3 linked regions of the Lepisosteus oculatus genome follow. The protein of the gene in region 2 binds, or shares a complex with, the protein of the main gene of each other region. Links are inferred from orthologs where the notes say so. Each region holds a gene or a part of one and is shown on either strand. Other genes may lie near its edges.

Region 1 (7,747 bases), on a different chromosome or scaffold from region 2:
AATCTCGGAGGCTCCGGCTCGGGATGGGGCGCTGTGGCCGTGCCGCCCGCTGTCCCTCCGGGGGTGCAGATCTCCGGACTGCCTCTCCTCTCCTCTCCTCTCCTCTCCTCTCCTCTCCCTCGCGTGTGGCCACAGGCAGCCAGGGGGAAAGGCCTTTTCTTTCCCGAAACTTGTCAGGCGGCGGTGATTTATTGAAAGGGACTTCCTGTGGTTGGCTGGCTCCTCTGCAGCTGCTCTCGCAGGCCGGAGCGCTTTTCCAGGGAGGGGGAAGAGAGCCGGAGAAGGAGCCCAGCCCGTTCTCCCTCACTGCCGGTCAGTCCAGTCCAGTCTGGCTCAGTATGGCTCAGTCCAGTCCAGTCCAGTCCAGTCTGGCTCAGTATGGCTCGGTCCAGTCCAGTCCAGTCCAGTCTGGCTCAGTATGGCTCGGTCCACTCCAGTCCAGTCCCTTCTGGCTCATTCCACAGTTCAGCCCGTTCTCCCTCACTTGCCGGTCAGTCCAGTCCAGTCTGGCTCAGCCGAGTCCGTTCTCACTGCCAGTTCAGTCCAGTCCAGTCTGGCTCAGTGTGGCTCGGTCCAGTCCAGTCCAGTCCAGTCTGGCTCTTCCCACAGTCCAGCCTGTTCTTTTTCACTGCTGGTCAGTCCAGTCCAGTCTGGCTCAGTATAGCTCAGTTCAGTCCAGTCCAGTCCAGTCTGGCTCAGTCCAGTCCGTTCCAGTCTGGCTCAGTATGGATTGGTCCAGTCCAGTCCAGTCCAGTCTGGGACAGTCCAGCCTTCTGACAGTTTACCATAGTGAATGTATCACACTCTGTGGGTTGTTTTACTGTGTTTTTTCCACAGATGTGCTGTGGGTTTAACCAGCCTTGTCTGTGCTGTGCCACAGTGCATGACCAGGAAGGCCGGGTCTGAGTCCCGTTAATGGCGGTTGTGGGTGCGAGGCCTCCTGTTCCTCGTGTACTTCCTGTCTGGTCTTAATTGGCAACTAGTTAACGAGGAACAGAGAGGGGTGGGAATAACCTCCTATGAGTCTTGCTGTTCAACTAAAGGTTTGATCAGTAATCAATCAGGATAATAATTCAAGTAGTTCAGGAGGGGAGCTGGCTGCAAAGGAACAAGTGCAGGTTTATTCCCCGCAGAAGAGCGATGAAAGGAAACACAACGTTTCGGCTGTGGAGCCTTCTTCGGGTGTGGATGGGCAGGCACTTCTAGTCTCTTCTAGTGCACTCTAACCCAACAGTCCTGTGCACCGGTCCAATCTGACCTAGCCCATTCCACTCCATCGCGGTCCCGTGCAGTCCAGTCTGGGCCAAATCAAACCCGGTTCAGCCCACTACGCTGTTCCCTAGATCTCAGTCTGACTCGGTCCGGTCCAGCCCACACCTCTCCGGACTGACGCAGGTCATCCCAGTCTAATTCCAGACCCCTCTCGCCCGTTGTGACCTCTGTGTTGAACAGCCTAGGTCTCCATTCGGACCAGTCCGGTCCAGTGCCCTGCAGTGTGACCCGCCCCAGTGCGGTCCACAACCCACAACCCGGCCGCACCAAGTTCTGCAGCGTGGGCCGGCCCAGCCCGGGACAGGCTTGAGACTGCGGAATGAGAAATAAAAGCCTTTCTCCGCGATTCCTGTCCTGGGCCTTGTTGTCCGGGCCGGAATGCTGTGACAGGGGATGATGGATGACCCGGGCCCAGAAGGGATGGGTGTTTATCCCCCCCAGTGCCACCCTGTCCCTGGTAATGGTTTCCCCCGAGCCCTGGCTTCTGGACCGTGGGGCCCAGAGAGAGAGGGCACGGCGCTCTCTAATCACGGCCCCCTCCCCAGCGCAGTCAAAACATCCCCCCGGTCCCGTTTCCTGCTGACTGCACGCTGGCACACGGGCCCTGCTGCCTGAAACGCCCACGCTGTCGACAGCCCTCGTTAGCGCCCCTTTAACGAGGTCCCCCGGCACGGCATCCCCGACCTTCCCCTTCCCTGAGCTGGCTCGGGTCTTGCTTTTTCACACCAGGGGCGGGAACTGACGTTGCGGGCCGGGGAGGAGGTGGGGGGAAGCATTTCAGTGTGGCGCGGGCTTCACACACCTTCGCCGATAGGGCCCCGCCCCGCGAAAGGTAACACCGGCATGTCGTGTTTTTCTCTGCGGGCGCGCGGCGGCGGGGGGGCGTGATCCGACTTCAGAGCGCGCTGCCAGGGCGCCTGGAGGGGCTCGGGCACGGAGGGGTGACCCCTGTTTATCTCCGCTGGCGATCTGGCCAGCCCAGGCGCTGGGAATGAGTGGCGGGGGGGATGAAAGGCGGGATCGGGCGGTCCTAGACCCAGGCTTAATAACGCAATCAGGCCGTTTCCTGTTTAGGGAAGCCCAGAGAGGCCTGTTCGGCCCCAGGGGAGGTAGGATTAGGACGTTAATGGAGCGTGAACACAGCACCGAGCAAGGGCAGAGGGAGAGTGAGGGCAGGAGGGACAGACGGGCTTCCTGAGAAACAGACGGGCCCAGAGAGGGGGGCAGTGCAGGAAAAGACAGAGGAAAACTAGCAGAGCCCAGTGAGATCGGGGTAAAAGCACAGTACAATGCAGTAGAGCCCAGTGAGATCGGGCTAAAAGCACAGTACAATGCAGTAGAGCCCAGTGAGATCGGGCTAAAAGCACAGTACAGTGCAGTAGAGCCCAGTAAGATCGGGGTAAAAGCACAGTCCAGCGCAGTACAGCCCAGTGAGATCGGGGTAAAAGCACAGTCCAGCGCAGTACAGCCCAGTGAGATCGGGGTAAAAGCACAGTCCAGCGTAGTAGAGCCCAGTGAGATCGGGGTAAAAGCACAGTACAGCGCAGAAGAGCCCAGGGAGATCGGGGTAAAAGCACAGTACAGCGCAGCAGAGCCCAGTGAGATCGGGGTAAAAGCACAGTACAGCGCAGTAGAGCCCAGTGAGATCAGGGTAAAAGCACAGTATAGCACAGTAGAGCCCAGTGAGATCAGGGTAAAAGCACAGCACAGTGCAGCAGAGCCCAGTGAGATCGGGGTAAAAGCACAGTACAGCGCAGTAGAGCCCAGTGATATCAGGGTAAAAGCACAGTATAGCACAGTAGAGCCCAGTGAGATCAGGGTAAAAGCACAGCACAGTGCAGCAGAGCCCAGTGAGATCAGGGTAAAAGCACAGTACAGTGCAGCAGAGCCCAGTGAGATCAGGGTAAAAGCACAGTACAGCGCAGTAGAGCCCGGTGAGATCAGGGTAAAAGCACAGTACGGCGCAGTAGAGCCCTGTGAGATCGGGGTAAAAGCACAGTACAGCGCAGCAGAGCCCAGTGAGATCGGGGTAAAAGCACAGTACAGTGCAGCAGAGCCCAGTGAGATCAGGGTAAAAGCACAGTACAGCGCAGTAGAGCCCGGTGAGATCAGGGTAAAAGCACAGTACGGCGCAGTAGAGCCCTGTGAGATCGGGGTAAAAGCACAGTACAGCGCAGCAGAGCCCAGTGAGATCGGGGTAAAAGCACAGTACAGTGCAGCAGAGCCCAGTGAGATCAGGGTAAAAGCACAGTACAGCGCAGTAGAGCCCGGTGAGATCAGGGTAAAAGCACAGTACAGTGCAGTAGAGCCCAGTGAGATCGGGGTAAAAGCACAGTACAGCGCAGCAGAGCCCACTGAGATCGGGGTAAAAGCACAGTACAGTGCAGCAGAGCCCAGTGAGATCAGGGTAAAAGCACACTACAGCGCAGTAGAGCCCAGTGAGATCGGGGTAAAAGCACAGTACAGTGCAGCAGAGCCCAGTGAGATCAGGGTAAAAGCACAGTACAGCGCAGTAGAGCCCGGTGAGATCAGGGTAAAAGCACAGTACGGCGCAGTAGAGCCCTGTGAGATCGGGGTAAAAGCACAGTACAGCACAGTAGAGCCCTGTGAGATCGGGGTAAAAGCACAGTACACCGCAGTAGAGCCCAGTGAGATCGGGGTAAAAGCACAGTACAGCGCAGTAGAGCCCAGTGAGATCGGGGTAAAAGCACAGTAAAGCCCAGTGAGATCAGGGTAAACGCATGCTAAAGTAATGAGTGATGTGAACCCTGAACCCATAGAAGCCTATGCAAAAATAAGCCTGCAGTCAAATTACAGGTTTCTAAATCAGGGGTCTCCAGCCCTGGTCCTGGGGATCCCCAGGGTCTAGTGCTCTCCAAGATGATACCCCAGTCAATCTGGGGTCCTGTACACTGTTCAGCGGTACAGCAGCAGGGTCTCCCACCCCAGGGTCGAACCCACGACCCCCCAGTGCCCAACGCAAGAGCGGAGAACAACTAGAGACGCTGAAAACGGGCTGCTGCTCTTTAGAAGATCAACAGCTGCCGTCTAGTGTCTCGTACTGGTATTGCACGCAGGTGCAGAGCACAGTTAACGGACACCGCGAATGTGCGGTTTATCTCGTCCCACACTCGCGCTTATTTGTGTGTACTCGATAGCTGACAAACCAGGTCGTCTCTCCCGGCCGAACTTTTAATAGAATTTATAATGTTTAAAGGGTGCAGAAAAAAAAAGAAATCGGACGAACGGAGCATTCCCTTTAAGAACTCAGTGGGGAGGCGGGACGTCCTTCCAAACGGTGATTGGGCAACCGGCGCGCCGATCGGGTTCCAGACGCAGGCGCGGTTCTCCGCTCTGATTGGTCGAGGCGGCTGTCGCCTGTGACAACCCGGAAGCCCTCCTCGCCGGGCAATGAATGAGAACCGGAAGTGCCTGCGGGTAGCGACGGTGCGAGCGGGGAAGACTCTCGTTGAACCACTGTGAATATATCTAGGTGAGCGGTATCGGTTCGTGGGTTTTATATAAATATATCTATATTTTTTTTTTTTTTTTACAAAAACGCGTTTCCCGTTAGCCGAAAAGTCAAAACAAGAGCGTCCCGGAAAGCTCTGGGGGGGAGACGAAAATCTCTTCTGTTTTGTGAACTTTAGCCTCGGCTCCTCTCCGTTAATATTTCATTTATTCTCATTTCGATTCGCTGTGCCCCTCCTGCACACAAGTCGCACCCTGCCGTATCCGTGTAGTTGTTTTCTTCCTTTCTGTGCGGCTCATGTCGCGATTTCAGTGGCGACAGACCAGTTGTCGCTGCCCGGCTCCCGGGCTGGCGGCTCGGTTCTGACTTGGCGGTCCGGGGCCGGAGAGCGCAGCTCACACCCGAGACCGCTTTCCGGGGATTTCTCGGGAATCATCTCATGACTTGGCGATGGAGGGGTTGTGATTTTTTACTTCTCCACTTTTCTACAAACAGAAAAAAACGTGTCACCGTGACATTTCCCCAGCCCTAAACGGTACGGCTCGGCTCCGTTCTGGCGAGTTCTCGGACGTCCGGACTGGACCCGAACCCGTCTGTCTGGATACGTCCGCCAGTTAGCTCTGCTAGCCGTTGAACAAATCACACCTTCCCTACCCGTCTGGGATATGTGATGCAGTCCGCGGAGAAGTCGGCGCTGCGCTCCTGCTGTGTAGCAGGATGATCCAGTCCGGGCTTTGCGCAGGCAGGGCAGCCGCGCAGTGCTGGGTCTACGTAGAGTCTGTCTGCTCATAGTGCGCAGACTTGCCCGTCTTTAAATGCGGCCCTTTCCTACGATGAGTACAACAGGAACGAGTAAGACCTGGAGCGGATCAGATTGCTGTGCAGTGGGAGTGTGATCTGTCTCTCAGGTTAACACTGCAGAAATCACTAACCCCATGTAGGGGTGTTTAAAATACCAGTATCTACAATACTGTTAGGCTTGACCCTTCCAATTAATTTATTTGGGGGCTCCCCAGTCTGGGTCGTGCGGGGCTGCTGTGTGGCCTGCAGGTTTTCAGTCCCCTTAACGACCTGCGTCGGCTCGTTAACGGCTTTAATTGGACCACTTAAACAGCCGTTCAGGCGCTGCTGTTTCTAAGAGAACTAGGAACCCCGCAGACGCAGCGTCCCCTCCTGGACCAGGAGTGGGGACCCCTGGCGGACTTTTTAAAAATTGCCCTCTGAGGGCAGTACTGTGTGGCGATCACGGACTCCCCTGGTGGAGACCCGTCGTGTACCTGGTTTAGGGCAGCTGCCCGCAGTCCGGGCCGGAGTGTTTGTTTGATAGGGCAGTCCTGCGCCCCCTGCTGGGCGTGTTGGGTGTGTCCCCAAGGCTAGTCGGTTTTATATGGGACTGCAAAGTCCAAAGGCTGTCTTGGCGAGCGTTTGGTGTCGTTTCTGGGGCTCCGCCCAACCCCGTAAAAAACACGCCCGCCTACACGGACACGGACACGGACACACACACACACGGAAACGCACTCCCAGGACGCTTTCAGGAAGCAGCGGGGTGAGATCTGCCCAGTGATGACGGGGGGGGCTGCTTTACACAAAGGGCGGCGGGGGTGTGGAGCAAGCTGCCCCAACAGCTGGTTCAGTAGTTCAGGTCTGGTCTTGTTAGACCAGGAGGACAGCTGGTCCGGTGGTTCAGGTCCGGTCCTGTCACACCAGGGGGACAGCCGGTCCGGCGGTTCAGGTCCGGTCCTGTTACACCAGGGGGACAGCCGGTCCGGCGGGTCAGGTCCAGTCCTGTTACACCAGGGGGACAGCCGGTCCTGTGGGTCAGGTCCGGTCCTGTCACACCAGGGGGACAGCCGGTCCGGCGGTTCAGGTCCGGTCCTGTCACAACAGGGGGACAGCCGGTCCGGCGGGTCAGGTCCAGTCCTGTCACAACAGGGGGACAGCCGGTCCGGCGGTTCAGGTCCGGTCCTGTTACACCAGGGGGACAGCCGGTCCGGTGGTTCAGGTCCAGTCCTGTTACAACAGGGGGATAGCCAGTCTGGCGGTTCAGGTTATGTCTCATTAGACCAGGGGGACCGTCAAAGCACTGGCCGTCCTGTCCGGCCCAGTGCTTGCTGGGACAGGCTCCGGCACTGCCCCCCCCCAGTCGCGCGCCTCCTCTGCCGCTGCCGCCCGGCTCACGTCCCGGCGCTCTCTCTCTCTCTCTCTCTCGCCGCCCCGCAGAGCTCGCTGTCCGCGTCTGAGCCGGGGCCCGGAGATGGTGGACTCCCAGTACTACCTCCCCAACGACGTCGGGATCGCGGCGCTGGACTGCGCCGAGGCCTTCCGGCTGCTGTCGCCCAGGGAGCAGCTGTACGCCCACTACGTGTCCCGGGCCGCCTGGTACGGCGGCCTGGCCGTGCTGCTGCAGACCTCGCCCGAGTCCACCCCCGTCTACGTGCTGCTGCAGCGGCTCCTGCGCCGCCAGCCCCCCGCCGAGCTGGAGGGCGTGGCCACGGCCGCGGGGCTGACCCCCGAGGAGTTCCAGGTGAGCCTGTCTCGGCGGTGCGGCTCTTCACACCCCCTCTGGCCAGAGTATTGGGATCCCCCATGAATAATGGGGTGACCAGTCCTGGTCAAGGAAGGGTCAGTGTGTCTGCAGCGGGGGTGTCCAGTCCTGGTCCAGGAGGGGGCGCTGTGTCTGCAGCAGGGCTGTCCGGTCCTGGTCCAGGAGGGGTCAGTGTGTCTGGAGCAGGGCTGTCCAGTCCTGGTCCAGGAGGGGTCAGTGTGTCTGCAGCGGGGGTGTCCAGTCCTGTTCCAGGAGGGGTCAGTGTGTCTGCAGCGGGGCTGTCCAGTCCTGGTCCAGGAGGGGTCAGTGTGTCTGCAGTGGGGGTGTCCAGTCCTGGTCCAGGAGGGGTCAGTGTGTCTGCAGTGGGTGTGTCCAGTCCTGGTCCAGGAGGGGGTGCTCTACATACCCTCAGAAAGCTTATTCTTTGACTAAATAGTTCTTTAAATGTGAAGTCTTTC
Region 2 (8,028 bases):
ATATTTCCAATTCCAGCTTACATCAAAGACCTTGAGGAGATCAACTGGCAAATTTATTCTTTGGTAAAAAACATTCCCATTTGAATATCTTATGTTTTTTATAGTCCAGCCTGTACAAGACACAGGGAGGTGTCAGGCTGACAGTTCGTCTTTTACAGGACGATAAGACCACTAGACAGTAATCACCACTCTCTGCTGATAATGTGCATCACAAGCTTTTAAACGAAGAATATACCCCTCTGAGTCAAAGTGAAGGTGCCTGGGAGGCTTGAAATCAGATGGTTCTTGCCTCATGAAAACAGGTTTTGAACGAGTTGGGAGGAGAAACTAGTGTTTTTTTAGGGTGTGTTCAAATATTCTGCTGGAAGATCCAGAAACGTTTGATTCCTGGTAGTGCTGGATGCCACTGGAATGCAGCTGAAACAAGGGGCAAGAACCGGACAAAACTACTGTACACCACTTCCCAGAGAAAACCACGTGGAAAACAACATTTGGATCAAGAATTGGTTGGGCCAATTCTTCCCGATTTATACAGTTTCAACAATAACTGGATATGCCAACAGAGCTAGCAAACTAGCAAACATATATTCAAAAAATAGGATGAGTGACACAAAGAGTGACAAAGAAATGATGAAGTCTTAGACATGGAGTGGGCAGACATTGCACGGGATGTTTAACACTGAAAAATGTGAAATTCCAGTCCAGGGGGTTACTGTATGTTCATGCTTCTCAAAGCACCAGTAAGGCTTCAAGTAGAGCTGTGGGTGTCTGACACAGGCTTCCCAGCAAGGAGATGGAGGCCCAAACTCAGAGTTCTTTTAAAATATAGCTGCATGAAATTGTAGTTTCATTCTGCTACCAAACTACCCAATTGGCAAGGTGGTCAAACAGTTTTCCTCTGGTTAGGATCCTTTCTTAAGTTCTTTTGTGCAGTTGTGCACATTGCCCTACTGCTTCAGGTCCCTCTCACATTGAGCCAAGTGCTGTGCTGGAAATATTGATTACCACCTCCAATCAAAACCAGAAGTAGAAACAACAAAATTTAAAACACAAGATTCAGTCTAAGGGAAACAGATAAATGATAAGAGTGCTATTATTTGGTGGGGCGAAAAACATGTCTACTCCAATGCAAATCGTGAAGTACAGTCTGCAGGTCCACTACATCTTGACGTGAAAGGTTACTATTCTCTTATTTCTTATTTACAGCTGGTGTCCATTACTATTCCTCTGCAGGTGACAAGCTGTGAACTTGAAACACATTCCAGCTTGCAGCTCAGAGCTACCGGCTCTAAGTGACACTCCCACGCCACGCACGAGAATAGTCTCAGCGGGTTGTGAAAGGAGCCCTCGGCGCCTCTCCCGTTCAAAGTCAACAGAAAAGACATTCTTGGCGTGCCACCGCGCTTCCTTCCTCACCAGCACTGCAGTCACGGGACAGGGCATCACTTCACAGACACCCCATTTCTTAGCTACAGTGGGTATTCTAATGAGCTTTCGGGTTTGAAAGGCTGTGCAAGATCCGCTGCTGTATCCGCAGTTATCTGGTGATCGGAATCACACAGTACAGTATATTCAGGCGGCTTCTCTCTGCAGTTCAGTACAGGCCCTGCAGCTCATGTTTACACCTGGTCAAGGACTGTGCTCTGCACACCCTTGGTAAATAATATGTTAGTAGTACTGAAAGTCATGAAATAGGACGTTTTTCCTAGAAATGAAATAGCAGTGGAAGGACTACAATCATATACAAAACCGACCGAGTCAGTTCGTAAGCTTCTGTGTGCCGTATGCTATTTATTAGTTTGAGCAAGACGAGGCGTTTTCGTTCATTATTCACAAGGTGTTTTCTGTTTAATTTTTTCCTAGATGATTAAACATGACAGGTCGTCATGACTGGAATTTTAAACCTGGCGTTGTTTTCCCACTTGTTGAAATCAGCAAGCTCTTATTGGGCAGTATTAAAAAGCACTTGGTGGTGTTGCGCAAGACGCGTCACATCCCCTGGCAGAACAGGTTTTTAAATAGGTTTGATAAAAACAATACATATATATATATGTGTGTGTGTTTGACATCAGTCCAAATTAAATAAATGAAGTATGTTTCCAGATAATTACTTTTTTCCAGAGCACTTCATGAAATCGTCTTTTGCGCATGTGAAATAGTAGGTGCTGAATCCCATTTTGAGAACAGATGAGTGTTACACACAATACGTCGCTACCTCTCATTTTATATTTTGTAAAAAGGTGATTAAAAACAAAAAGAAAAACTCTAAATTCAAAAACATGCAAGTGAAACACTGGAGATGACTGCGCTGCGCTAAGGGCAGGACAGTTTTCGTACTTCATTCTGAGATTTGTCACGTTTTACCAGAGCAGGCTTGATCCATCACTTGAGTAATGAATTATCTTGTGTAATTCGCAATGCAGCTGACAACAGTCCTAGATTTTTGTATTTTAAAGTGTTTTTTTGTTTAAGTAAGGTTTTGTCTCACTACTTAATGTGTCTCCATTAAGCATTACTTTAACTTTTTTATGACTGGGACACCTCCGCTGAAAACAAAGCAATAAATATTGGTTTCAAAATGAAAATAAGCCATCAAAACACCAGAGCCGTCATTTGTCGAATCAAAACGCATATTAAAACAGCGTTTTATGAAACGCACACCATTGCATTCGTGATCTAAGTTTTAATGAGACATCTGAAACCGCGTAACGAGAAAAACAATATTCGGTAAGTTATTTCAGAAGTGAATTTTGCGTCCCGCCATGTCCATCGCAACAAATTGAATTCAAACACCTAACAACAGAAACTCCACTGTCGTTTACTGCTGACAGAAAAGTCTACAGTATATATGTATATGGTTTCCAGCTACACGTCGATAAACAGTATTCATTCAAGAAAATGAAGCTCCATTAATCATAAACATAAATATGTTTAGCCCGAACATTAATTGCAAACACAGCACGAATAAACACCCCCGAAACAGTTGGCTCGTCTGCCGGGAGCCTGTATTTATGCAGTGTGAAGCGTGTCCTACCCCCGGTCGCTTCCATGAGAAGTTGATGGGTACGCTCTCGCTGTAGTAGATGGAGGAGTCGCGGGCAGGGAAGTCCGGGTCCTCAAACAGCCGTTTCTTCTGCAGGCATTCCCGGCGGAGCTCCTCGAAGCTCCTGCCGTCCAACTGGGTCGGGCGAGCCTGCACCGGCTTGTCGCCGCCCTTGTTCTGGAAGGAGTTCTGGTAAGAGTAGGGCATCCTCGGACCCTGGCGCGGACAGTGTAGCTCGGCGGAGGAGACGCGCTTTGCGCAGGAAGAGTGGCGGGGCACCTGGTTTTCACCTGGCCGCCGGGCAGGTACCTGTAGGACCACACCTGGAGGAACAGGTTCCACTCGCCTCAGAAGGCCCAGCCCATCCCTCGGGCGGCCCCGGGGGATCTTGGCTCTGGAAAGGAGTAAAAGAATTTACTCCGGCTTGGAGACACAGGGATGAGTGACGGTGGACAGGAATGTCGTCTAGTACAGGTGTATAGCTGCCAGGAGAGACAAACTGCATAGTATGGTGCAGCTGTTGAACTCCTCCTGTCTTTTCAATGCAAACTGTTTGAAGCGATACCAGCAGTATCACTGCTCAGGACATGTATAGCTACAGTATGGCCACATGTTTTGCATGAGTGTAGATTAATTTACACTTCAGTGTGAAGCTAAACTTCCCTTTTCAAATATATCTACTGTATATATCTGTCCTTCTTGTCTTTGTTCCTAGTATGCAGATAAGCACCAAAAAAACATTAATAACAGAAGCACAGTACTTAATAAATCCAGAAGTTCATTCAGTTGTTATCCTGCCATGTTCTTCAAAACTGTGAGGTCCCTCAGCACATGAATCTAGTGACGTTGCCATTCAATGACATAACATTTCTAAAAAAAGGGTCTTTTTTTGCCTTTATGAACTTGGGGGGGATATTAAAAATGTCTATAATAAACCTATAGCAAAGTGTGCATTAAAAGAACTTGATCTAAACGATAACGGAGAGGAGTGAAAACAAATGTAAAAGTAGCATTAATAATAATAACAGTTCTTTCAGGGGGCATCATATACATTTCCACATCGGACTGTATGATTTGTTGTGTTTCTCATCAAAATGGGTCCAAAAACACTACAGAGCCATTAATTCCCTTTGGGATACCCACTGACACACTGAGACTGGCAGCAGTATATCAAGAGGTTCTACTGATCCTGATTATTTTACACCTGAGTCACAGAATCTCTCCTGACGCTGCAACGACAGCTGGGGTATTGCGATGTGAGGGCCATAGGGGTGTGGCTGTTAGCACTGCTGCCTCATGGGTCCTTGGTCCTGGGTTCGATTTCAACCTGGGGCACCTTCTGCATGGAGTTCGGATGTTTTCTGCTCTCTGCTCGGGTTCCATATTGCGAGAACATGCTAAATTAACTCGGTTAAATGGGTCACTACGTTGTCCCTGTATGTTCAGCAATGGAGTGATGTCCCATCCGGGGCATTTTCCTCGCTTGACCCCTATATCTCCAGGATAGGCTGCGGGCTTCACCAGGAATAAGCAACTTTCTGACAGTGGATGGCATTACGATGCACATGGATGTCTTGGCAAAACGTGAGGCCGTGATGATGACTGCAAAGCAGGAGAAGAGGAACAACAAACATAAAAAAAGATGTGCAAAGAATCCTGAGGTCGCACATCGGAAAGCTCAGAAGCTTAATAGCCCATTCCTCCTATTTTTTTTTATCTTCAGTAGCGTTAGTCAGCTTCCTGCAAGGTGTAACAGAAAAACCCTCTTACAACACGGTTATCGTAAAGAGTTTAGAAAGGACACAGAGCTGGTCCATCAGGACAGCAGCACAACTGCGCTGAGAACAGATCGTCACAGCTTCAGTGATTCACCAGCTTGGCTAATGAGTAACAGGCAGGCTAAAGCATGAAGCAACTACAAGGCTGCTTGTCTTTAAAAACAGACCACCAGACTAACGGAACTCTGAAACCAGCAGCAGCTGCCTCAGCAACAGAATTTAAGGTCAGTGCATCTTAATAAAAACATTTTCACAACAATAATTTCCCTTGCAAATATCTAATTAAAAACTGTTAAGAAAATTCAACAATAATCAAATTGAATTTGTAACAAGTTATCCTTGTTATTTTAAAGTAATTGTTTAAAGATAGAATTCTTGCCAGAAACTGTGCACTTATTAATAAAAAGACATAATTCCTTTTTGCTTTGAAGCATAGTGTTGAGAGATTAGCTTGTTTATTGTGTGTCATAGAGAAGAAGCTGAAGTCTTTAAAAGCTGTCCTAGAACTGTTTTAAAAATTATTATCTAATATATAATGTAATACAGTATATATGAAACACACTTTGATGTGTAATTTTATTGTTTTAATATTCATAATCACACTATGTTATGAGAGATTATATTTTTTTATATCCATTTGATTATCATAATTTTATATAAGTGTATTTTAATTCTACACACAAAAGGGGAATTGTGGCACTCTACACATTTGCTTATTAAATAAAAAAGAGATTCGTATCTTGTGTCCAAAGAAAGGAGAAAAAAAATATTTAACCATTTTTGCGGTACAAGATAGATTTTGACATGCGCACCTCATGCAATGATTAACAAGCTTTCCTCTTCCAGAGGACAGCAGTCCTGAATTTGCACTGCGTGCTTTGTGGGGAGTCTTCACCTGCAGGGCTTCAGAAGCAGAAATAAAATACATATAAATCACTCTTTAAAAACTTTTTAAAAAATTCTCCTTCTTCTTGTTTTAAAATTCAATTTTGGAACTTCTGTCATTTGTTTATATATATATATGTAACTCAAAAACAATAGCTTTAGTTTTCCAGTAAATGAACTTCATGCAGTCCGTAGTGCAGTGACTGCAAGGCCTTGACAGTATTGGATTTCTCCTCAGGCTACAGTACAGTGCAGATCAGTTCACTAACCTTTCCCACTAAATAATCAATATGTTTATACAGTACGTTTTTAACATTTATCATGTTTCATAAAACTGGGCTATAAGAACCATCTGTGAGCTTTCATGTTGTTTTTTTTTCCTTTTCTATAAATGAATTTGTTTTATACTTTACATGGGTTTATGAAACATTAACATAAAGTGCTCATGAAGGTTTTACAAGCTTTGAATACCATTAAAATTTACCTTACATTTATATAGAACATTCTAAATCGGTGACCTTATAAACGTTGTAGCCTTGAACAAAATGATCAAAAAGTCAAACTGCATAAGAACACCTATACGTGGTGGGGAGATGAACAAAAATAATTGGTTTAAAACTGCAGACAAGGTCAAAGCCCCTTCGTAGGAAGACATACTGTATGTAACAGCAAGGTGCACTGAGTTGAAATAGTAACTGTTATAAAAGCAAAGTCCATTATCAGACGCGAGGACTCAGAAGAGGACCACAGACCAAATTGAGACAGCTGACAGCAGATCATAGAAGTAAACTGGAAGGAAGCCACTTAGTCACTGCGTTTTTAAATTCGGCTCTGAATTCTGCGGGACGACAGTGCAGTGATGTTACAGACGTGATTTAGTTTCAATAAAAACCCAGTGAGCGATGGGCTTTGGACTTCTTCCAGCTGTATTACAGACACTGTTAAGTGCAACTGTTAGTAAGGCTATGCAGCATTGAGAAAAGGGAGCAGCATAGATGAGTTTATTCACAGCTACTGTCGCAAGCACAGGTAAATAGAAAAGACACTTTGGAAACGTGCTGCTTTTAACAGCAAAATATAGTTTAATGTCACTTGAGTAATCATTTGCCAGCATGATTTTCTTTCCCTTTTTCAAACTTTGTCAGCTTTAGCCCTGAGAATTTTATTTTTCAGTATGTCCAACAGACATAGATATACGGTATGTGTGTATCTATATATGTTTGTCTTATTTAAGTAGCAATCAAAACATTTACTTGTCATTATTACTTGTTTGCTATTTAAACTGTGGCAGTTGACCTTCTTTATCACATTTTCTTTCGCTGATGTGAATCAGACATTAGAGAGGAGCTCAGCAGTTCTGCGAAGTTCTCTTGAGAAAGCCATTCCTGTGATGGACACAGGCCAAACTCAAAAGAGGCAGTAGAATAACGTTGCAAACGGCCCATCATAACTAGCTGTACTTTTGGAATTTCTGCAACGGCCAAGTCCTGATTTCTAGAGTATTTTACTTTTCTGAACAGGTTTACTTCATAAGACGGGACTGAGAAAACAGGATGCAAGAAATCCTGAAGGCTTTGCTCCTTCTCTCCTGCGCTTGCCTGACGCTGGGGAACCGTGTCTATGTTCACCCCTTCAAACTGTTCGCGTTGGAAAATCTCACCTGCGTGAACCTTCAGACTCACAAGGAGAAGCTGCTGGAGGAGAACTTGATTGAACCCTCCCCTATAGACCCACTAAACACCTTTCAGGGGGACACCAGCCCAGACGAACGGCCCGACCGGACCAAACAAAATCTTATCCAGCTAAAAGCCGAAGTGCTTGCAGGGCTCCAGAATGGCCTTGGTCTTCGGGTGTACCGCACCCTACTGAAGCAGAAGACCGGCAACGCTCTGTTCTCTCCTGTGAACACTTTCGGAACTCTAGTCACATTTTACCTGGGGGCCTCATTACCCACAGCTGCAAAACTGCAGGAGTTCATTGGCATAGTGAAGGAGGGAAATACGAAAAACTGCACGTTTGTATTTGATGGCTACAAGGTTCTGACCACGCTTCAGCACATCAGTTCTCTGACTAACGGAACCACCGACTTGCAGAAAACATTTGCGTGGACCTTTGTCGACAGAGGCGTTAAACTGCCGCACGAGTTTGCTCAAGGGACGCGGAACCTCGCCGATTCCTCCTACATCAGGTCGGTGGACTTCTCCCTCACCTCAGAAGCCAGACCCCTCATGAACTCCTTCATCGAGCAGACATCTTTGGGGAAAATAAAAAACCTTTTCAGTGCCATCGACCCATCTTCTGACCTGATGTTCGCAAGTTCTG
Region 3 (8,039 bases), on a different chromosome or scaffold from region 2:
AGACAGAGAGGGGACCGGGAAGAAAAATCACAAAAACAGCTGTCAGAGCATTTGACGATCACTCTAATATTGCCATAATTGCCTGTGGTGGAGATAAAAAAGAACCACAACTCATTGTTGCTTTAATTTAATGTATTTTCCCTACTTTGTAAACTGTGGTGTCAGGATATGAGAGGCTATATTGCAATCTTGGACAGGAAATTATGGGAAATGTCTTACTTTTATAATTAACTTCATAATTGATAATAAGCACTACAAACGCTATGGTATTTTTCTTCTTTCCTGCATCTCTTTTAAAAAAGCCTGTGCCAATCCTCAAACACTGGAGCTGTGCACAGAAGAGCGCAAGCTGGTGTCTCATTTAACTTGAGCTGCACCCTTTATAACATCTCTGTAAGGGATGGCCAGCTCCGGTCCAGGGGATTCACATATTTAATAGCTTACCCATAAATCCATAACCCCGCACGGACTTGGAACACATGAGCTGTGGCTGTGATTTGATTTAGTTAAGTTAGGAATGGCTGGCTGTGGTCTTTGAGAGATGTGATTTTAATTTCAAATCTAATCAACGCCATTGAGTAAATCAACATTTCAAGAGGTGAAAGCCAGTGGTTTTGGAAATTGATGATTTACAGGTGACACACAAAACATGATGGCTTGTGTTACTCTGCAGCTACAGCTAGACATCGCTGACCTGTGTTGTTAATTACTACGGCGATACACACTCCGGCAGGGTTTTCTAGCTCACTTTAACTCCTCAGCTTTGAAAGTCCCGAGGAGAAAATCAGCCAGTTGATCCAATATCTCTTGAGGGTCGGAGGTGACGTTCACTGGCCTGAAAGATCAGCACCGTAGTGTTGGGAGGGACACCTGATTGGTAGTCCTCAGGAGCTGCAGAGTGTTAATGGTTTTGAAAACATTTTGGTGCACAATTTATTAATTAAGCTATGATCTTCATGAACTGGCTGCGATTTCTCCAAGTCTTGAGGAGTTACAACTTGCACATTGTGGAGTTCCAGAACTGGCCAACACTGACTTAAAAATGTGTCATTTTCTTCACATTTTAACTTTTTACTCGGTACACATTAAAAAGGTTTTGCTGGTCTCACATCAAGGTAGTTGGTGAGGGGGGTGGGCGCGGTCCCGTTGCTGGGAGGTGAGTCAAATCCCATCTTCTGGGCCATTTCGGCAAAGACTTGGGCTGGGGAGACGCCCATCTCTCGCAGGGTCTCCCGGATCGAGGGCATCTTTTTCAGAGAGATCCTGACGGGAGAGGAGATGAATCAGGCCGAACAGAAATCAACACACTGGAACAAAACTGTGAGTGGCCTTACCCCAGCTGAGTTCTGCTTGTTGTGTTCTGCATATTATGTACTTAAACTGGTTGAAATCAACACCTCCAGCACTAATTGTCAGCAGGAATAAATTTGTTGAGCTGCAGGACTCCACAGCTATGGTAAACCTGTATTGAAATTTAGCCATTTTGTTTTAAAATGTTTAGATAATGCTCACAGTTAATCCTTACAAGTCAGTCTTTTGTAGTACAAAAAGTAACCTTGTATCCTTATTAATATGTAGAGAAGAACAGACTATGTTAATGATGCGGACAGTGGGTTAATTAGATCTGATTGGTAAAAGTGATGGTTTAGCTGCTACAGAATTCCCTATGGGCTGTTCATATGTTCACCTTAAATTACTGTGATCACGTGTGATCACTGAACCTTGATCAGTGCGAATTAAAAATTCACTAAATCATTTGTTTTTTTTTCTCACCCACAGCAAAGCTGTATTAATAACAATTGTTAGAGCAATAGAAAATGTTGTGTTGAGAAAACTTTTGTGTCTAAGATGTATAAAATATATGCAACAATGTATATATTATTATTATATTTGAATATCATATACTAGTGGAAATCAAACGTTTTAAATAATTTCCTTGGTCATCTGCATCATGTATAGAGTAAACCTGTCTGAGTGAGCCTAATCTCCTTCATGTGACACTTCAATGTCCTTTGCATTTTGTACAGTATCAAGAAGGTGTGACTTCATCAAGTCATACTAGACACCTGTTTAAAACATGAAAATGAAGCATAAAAGTCCTCTTCCCTTTTCCCATCAAATCCTGTTTTTCTGCTCCTGATAAGCGCCAAAGCTTATCCATGTTCTAAATGCTTTATCAAATACAGGCTCCCAGGGGAACCAGAGCCTATCCCAGCAGGCATCGGGCTCAAGTCTATCGCAGGGCACACACACACACAAACAAACACGGACCTGCACACACTCACACCAGGGCCAGTTTTTGAAGAAACAGAATAGCCTACCAGTATGTCTTCGGACTGTGGGAGGAAACCCACAGAAACATGAGGAGAGCATACAAACTCCACACAGACAGCACCCCAGGATCTGAACCCAGGACCCAGAGCCTCAGCATTACAAGGGAGCACCGCTCACCCCTGTGCCACCATGCCACCCTATTATTATAGTAATCATTGTTTTATTATTATTGTCATTGCAATCCGTGCTTTGCATCGCAGAGGAGAGAAAAGGGCATTTGGGGTGTTCTTACTACAGTAGGTCGGGAATGTGCTTGTAAAAGTGTAGCACTGTAGCATGACAAAAGCCCCATAGATCGAATTTCAGTTACTCAAAGCAAACTTGTAAGCCTACATTAAATCAACACAAAAGCTGTGGGAAACAGCAGTAAAACAGATTCATACTAGTAAAACTACATCATGTCTGTGGAAAGAAATTGCCTGGTAAGTTTTCTTAAGAATTCTTAAGAATTTACTGATGTAGGGAGCCACAGGGTTCATTTTTCTTAAGCATCATTGCAAGCATTCTTTTTTATAATTTTTGTGTCTCTGGCATGCATAAATGAGCTGACAAGTACTCTGAAAAAAGTTACCTTATCAAAGCCTGGCTTGAGGTGATCATCAGCACCAGCAGGAGAGCAGCCCAGCAGCGCATTGTGATGGCAGGGGGTTGTGTGACAGCTTTCAAACAAAGTCTGTTTCCTCAGGCGATCTCTGTCTGGCAGACTGTACTGTACCTCCTCCTTTTTATACCATCTCTTCTTTGCCCAGCAGTGCCCTGCAAGCCTCTTTTTGCTAACAGCACCAAACAACCCTGTCCCCTCACCCAGCCCCTCCCCTGGTGAAGTGGTCCCAGAGCTGTGCGACCTCTGACCTCAGAGAAGGGGTTGAGACGGAGAGCAGCGACACAGAGCGTTCCCAAGATAGCGTTCTCTCAGAGGGAGGCACTCCTTCACCCTGGAGTTAGCTGTGAAGTAGAGGCTTTTAATAATGGGGCAACAACATGTTAATGGAGCACAATCATTTGTTTGAAACAGGAAATAAAATACAAATAAAGGAAGGTGAAGAAAGAAAAAGTGCTCACAGTGACCTGTGTTACCGGAAGTCCCAGGTCTTTTGGATCCTCTAAGATGAGCATTAATGACCTGTTTATGTTAGAACTGTTTTATATTGTGGTGTTCCAGGTGTGCCAACAAGGTGGTCTATGAAGGTATGACTCCAGAAGCAACAAATATGTCTTAGGACAGGCCAGGGGAAACATGGGGTACTCCTGAAAATTACACACACATGCTCATGTTCTGGTCCTCCCACAGTGGGAAGAAAATGCTTTTTGTTAAATGAATTTCTTTACATTTACTGCATACTTTCAGACACTCTCTGGGCCTCATCTGCAAGAGCACCCTTCTTGCACTATTCCGTATCAGTGTTAATGACTGATTGGCTTTGTAATCATGAGAGCTTGGCTTTCAGGTATTATTGGGTGAAAAATTACCACAGCCTTCATAACCTTGGTTGACCTTCTTTGCTCTGAAGTGTGAACTGTTTTGCGGTCTCCTTTTTTTACAGCTACAGTCTTAGGCTATATATTGTTTGTCTTTGCTGTCACAGTTTAATTTTTATCTGTATGTCTTTTTTTACTTTTCGTATCTCCACAATATTGCTTGAAGAAATGATGCATGGGACTCAAAACACCATATAAATCCCTTCATATATTTTGCATCCAAAACAAATGCAGTACAGAAAGATGCATTGACATTTACTGAAGCATCACTTTATACAGCTGTGAAGAAAACAAAACAGATTAAAATTAACTTCATATCTAGCATTGAACAAAAAAATTTCTGCTCTCCCCCATTCCTGTGCTGATTCAAGTGTCGCTCTCTTGAAAACTGTCCTTAAAGAGCTGTCGATTAACCTTGCTCTTGCCATGATAATGCCCTGGAAAATATTTAAAAATGAAACGTGTACAGTAAATACAACGTCTAACAAATCTGGAAAATTGTAAAACAGCACACTCTCGGGGAGATTCACAGGTGGTGATATTCTTATTTTCACAGATGTGGTATTTGAGCTCTTCTTTTTGCAGCTGTGGAGGTGTTGTGTTTGATGGGTTAATGCAGACCGGTCTTGTACCCCTCTGAGCTACAGAAATCCCCAGCTCACCTTCGCTCCGAGTCTGAGCTGGAGTCCTAGGAAGAGCCACAGCAGGCTGGCCCTCTGCAGACAGATTGGTCTCTGGGGTGTGCACCCGTGTCCCGCTCCATTAATTATAGGCCATCGCAGGGGCCAGCAGACCGGTTCTCACAACCTGAGGGGACTGCACGTGGGTCAGTTCACAGCGCCACGAAGACTCAGTTACCACAGCCTGCTCCACCGGGGCTCCTGGGACACTGGTGGAGGTTAGTCACCCGGGATGCCTGTCTGCTGTTGCAAAGAGTCCAGGAAACTCATCCAAACTGTTTTAGGAAAGACACAAACATGGCATCCGCATGGCTCAGGTCCTGCGCTAAGTGCCCAATCCAGCTACTGTCTATAACAGCATTGTACTTTGCAAATACTGAAATACTTGCAATAATTGTATGACATTAACTGTCAGTCAGCTGAATTAAGTTTTCGGTTCCCGCAAACACTTACTGGAGGCCTAAACAAACTCATATAAAAAGCATAATGCAGAATTCCTCTCTTTTATTAGCATTTTTTATTACTTCCATAATTGGATTGGATTAAGTAGTGCCACATGGAATATGTTGTTTCTCCTTGTAAGGTTGAAATTATTTTTTTACTGCAGTATGAGAAGACATGCACCTCACATGAGGCTTCATGGGTAAACATTATGAAAGAAGTTTGCATAGGCTGTGTGTTTTAACAATAAAATATCTGCATCTCTGGGGCTGCAGTAAGGATTTATTTAGGGCAGGGATATTTGGAAAAAGACATTTGGGATGGGTTCCCTCCTCCCCACACCCCCTTATCCACAATGACAAAATCTGCCTTCAGATGGGTGACGTTTACAAACGAAATACAAGCACAAGCAAAACAGTAGCATATATCACCAAGATTGATAAATGTCTGGTCAATAGAAGAATAAAAATAATCATTCTAGATCTGGGTTCAAGCCTGGGCCAGCTGTGCTGGGCTGGTTGCATCCCCCCTCTCCCTACACAGATAGCACCCCTGTGTATCTGTATCAACTGAGAATATCTTTCTCTCCAAATACTTTCCTGCTGCTCTGAGTGGGAAACTCCTACTGTAACCTCTGTATTGCCACAGGCTTCAGTACAGAATGCACTTGCTCACCCACTCACACACACACCCATGTCTCTCCTGTGAGTCAAATTCGGTTCCCACAGCTTGCTCTGAGGTCAGGCTGGAGGTCCTGTTTGTGTACTCAACCCCGCATCGGACGAAAAGATGTTAACGTTCACGTCAGGAAGGAGGCAGGAAAAAAAAGTCTGGGGATGAATTTCAAACAGTTCCCACTCCCTGGCACTACCAAGAAATCATTTGGCAGTCATTGTGATAAGGTTTTACAGTAAATGACTTGCTTATTAAGACAAGAATCTTCTAGCGTAAAGTGATTGCCGTGTTAAGACCCGGCAGTGACGGACTTGGGTTTAATGTAGCCTTGTTGTTTCTGAGCCTGCTGGCTGTTTGGTGCCACCTGACCTCGGTTTGTGAGTTTCATTATCATTTTTGTGGAGGTGGAAATGTCTACCGAAATACCTCCTCATTAGGAAAACGGGCGGCTGGGCATAGTTTGTTTTTCTTGCCAAGGCAGTTTGGAGCAACTTGGTTGAGTATAAATTAAGATAAGGAGTGCAGCTGTCGACTCTTCTGATTCTCTGGCTGTGAAGTGTGCTGTTTCCTGCACTGCTACCCACATTTTGAGCCCTTTGTGAAATAGCAATGACAGGTTTCAACACAGTCGGGTTTCTTCATCAGCCCACACAAACTCCTTCCCACTCTCTGCGCTTTGTGTGTTTGTTCCAGGCCTTCCAGGAGCTGGGAATCCAGATGGACGGTTTAAAGAGGGCTTTTTTGGCAAGCAGGGAGCACAAGTGGCACTGGCAGAGGCACTCTTGTGACCTCCAGTCCAAGCTGATGCCCCAAGAAGCTGGTTTCCCACAGAGCTGTGCTCCAGAAGCCTCAACAGGGACCCCATGGTGACACCCTGGGCAAGACCCCTGCGTCACTCAGTTGCGCCAACACACGCCCTCCAAACACACAGCTCTTGCTTAGGCATGGGAAAAGAGGTCCCTCCTGCACTGTTGCCAGGAATTTAGGACACAAGGTAATGTCGAGCTCCAGGAACCCTGATGCTAGACGAGGAATCTCTCACATCGCTCCCCTTGTAGGATTCTGGCAAAACTCTCTCATGCTTGAAGCCGAGAGGCTGTTTCCTTGGTGTTGTGTCTGTGGCTAGACCACTTTATCACAGACTGCAGAGTGAACATCATCTAAACATATTCTACAGAATAAATGAAGAAAGAGACTCTACTGCATAAAAGCTGCTTATTTCACTCTTTTCCTTTGAATTTACCCTTGTAGCCCACGTGCTGATGTAGCTACTCCCTCCAACCTTACCAGAGAAGGTGCCTCCATCCATCAATGTCTGTTTATGCTAAGACACCCTCAGGCAGTCATAGGCAGCCTATACCCTTAGGAGCCCGAACTGTGCAGAATGAAGAGCTGTCTTACCCCTGAAAGCTGTTCAAGACCAAAAAGCACTGTTTTGTGCACTACATAGGCTACACAAAGCTCAGTAAAGCCACAGTGTTTGTGCTGCATATAAAGATTAGACAATGGAATGTGGGTTCTCTATTGTACTTTCTGCACAGCCACACTGAATACATGAAAAAGCGACACATGAGTTTGCATTGAGTTCTGATTATTCATGTACCTTATTCTTGTTTGACTAATTGCAAGCACCTATTTCTCAAATCAAATGAGAGGCCAGTTTCTTAGAAACTGATTAGAGTCCTGACTGCCGGCACACTGTCATGCTGAGCTGCTTTCAGAATGTTAAGATCTCAAGGTAAATGCCACTGTGTCTGATGGTCAGTCTAGATGCATGTCATGAGACGATTTTTATACTTATGTACTGTGTGATATTTCCACCTTCTCCTACTATTCCACGTGGAAATGACATTTCCACATTAAGCTCTGACCTTTCAATTGCCATTTAATATTTCAAATGGACAAGTTTTGCCTTAGTTTACGCTATGATTTAATTTATATTGCACCTCCATGAAATATTTTATATATATATATCGTTAGAGATACTTTGATAATGTTCGAATTTTTCACAGTACAGCATATTCTTCATGTAGGTTACGGCAGTACCCCTCAGTTGCTGGCTTTCAAAAATAGGAACTGGTAAAAAACAATAGTATTTATCATGTTAAAACGTGAGCTTTTAACTTGAACTGTCATGAAAAAACATGAAACTGTCACATTAATAGTTTATTAATTGTTAATGCTATAGGCATCCTGTTTTGTTAAGTGTCTTGATAGGAAATCATTAATTATGGATTGAAATGGAAAAATCTGGCGAGTGGCTCTGATTCGTTGCAGGGGAATGTTTCTCATCCCCTCTCCGGTGAAGAGGGATCAGGCAAGGCTGGACTCTGGAACCGAGCTAACAGCTTTCATCCACGGGGAATGCTTGCTCTGGGACAGGAGGCTGTGAGGACATTGCAAAACCCATGACATAGGAAGGCCAATGTA

The links.
Region 1: the proteins of agt (region 2) and dpp3 are in contact, whole or in part, in a crystal structure (PDB 5E2Q), measured with the Homo sapiens proteins. The link is inferred for Lepisosteus oculatus from reciprocal best matches to the Homo sapiens genes AGT and DPP3. Residues at the interface, in NP_001369746.2 of Homo sapiens: Asp25, Arg26, Val27, Tyr28, Ile29, His30, Pro31, Phe32; in NP_005691.2 of Homo sapiens: Phe109, Glu316, Tyr318, Glu329, Phe381, Gly385, Ile386, Pro387, Ala388, Gly389, Ile390, Asn391, Ile392, Asn394, Arg399, Val412, Leu413, Val415, Ala416, Phe443, Val447, His450, His455, Glu507, Glu508, Asn545, Arg548, Leu552, Glu555, Phe556.
Region 3: the proteins of agt (region 2) and ren are in contact, whole or in part, in a crystal structure (PDB 6I3F), measured with the Homo sapiens proteins. The link is inferred for Lepisosteus oculatus from reciprocal best matches to the Homo sapiens genes AGT and REN. Residues at the interface, in NP_001369746.2 of Homo sapiens: Asp25, Tyr28, Ile29, His30, Pro31, Phe32, His33, Leu34, Val35, Ile36, His37, Asn38, Glu39, Lys91, Leu92, Ala95, Met96, Met99, Leu100, Phe103, Arg107, Arg148, Ala151, Ile152, Gly154, Gln353, Gln354, Asn355, Asn358, Glu391; in NP_000528.1 of Homo sapiens: Tyr81, Met82, Thr84, Gln85, Val102, Asp104, Gly106, Ser107, Asn109, Ser118, Arg119, Leu120, Tyr121, Thr122, Val125, Tyr126, Leu147, Arg148, Tyr149, Ser150, Pro181, Ala182, Leu183, Pro184, Met186, Leu187, Ala188, Glu189, Phe190, Val193.

What each region holds. Positions count from the first base shown.
Region 1 is NC_090713.1:22,418,685-22,426,431, forward strand, and holds the start of dpp3 (dipeptidyl peptidase 3), read left to right. Parts: upstream 1-4,655; 5' UTR 4,656-4,765; intron 4,766-6,964; 5' UTR 6,965-6,998; coding exon 6,999-7,268; intron 7,269-7,747. UniProt on the Homo sapiens protein: Cleaves and degrades bioactive peptides, including angiotensin, Leu-enkephalin and Met-enkephalin. Also cleaves Arg-Arg-beta-naphthylamide (in vitro).
Region 2 is NC_090712.1:2,034,426-2,042,453, forward strand, and holds the start of agt (angiotensinogen), read left to right. Parts: upstream 1-4,940; 5' UTR 4,941-5,045; intron 5,046-7,226; 5' UTR 7,227-7,259; coding exon 7,260-8,028. Other genes in the region: capn9 (calpain-9), read right to left, coding at 3,035-3,250. UniProt on the Homo sapiens protein: Essential component of the renin-angiotensin system (RAS), a potent regulator of blood pressure, body fluid and electrolyte homeostasis.
Region 3 is NC_090700.1:38,578,534-38,586,572, reverse strand, and holds the start of ren (renin), read right to left. Parts: upstream 3,055-8,039; 5' UTR 2,968-3,054; coding exon 2,906-2,967; intron 1,264-2,905; coding exon 1,110-1,263; intron 1-1,109. Other genes in the region: optc (opticin), read left to right, coding at 8,035-8,036. UniProt on the Homo sapiens protein: Renin is a highly specific endopeptidase, whose only known function is to generate angiotensin I from angiotensinogen in the plasma, initiating a cascade of reactions that produce an elevation of blood pressure and increased sodium retention by the kidney.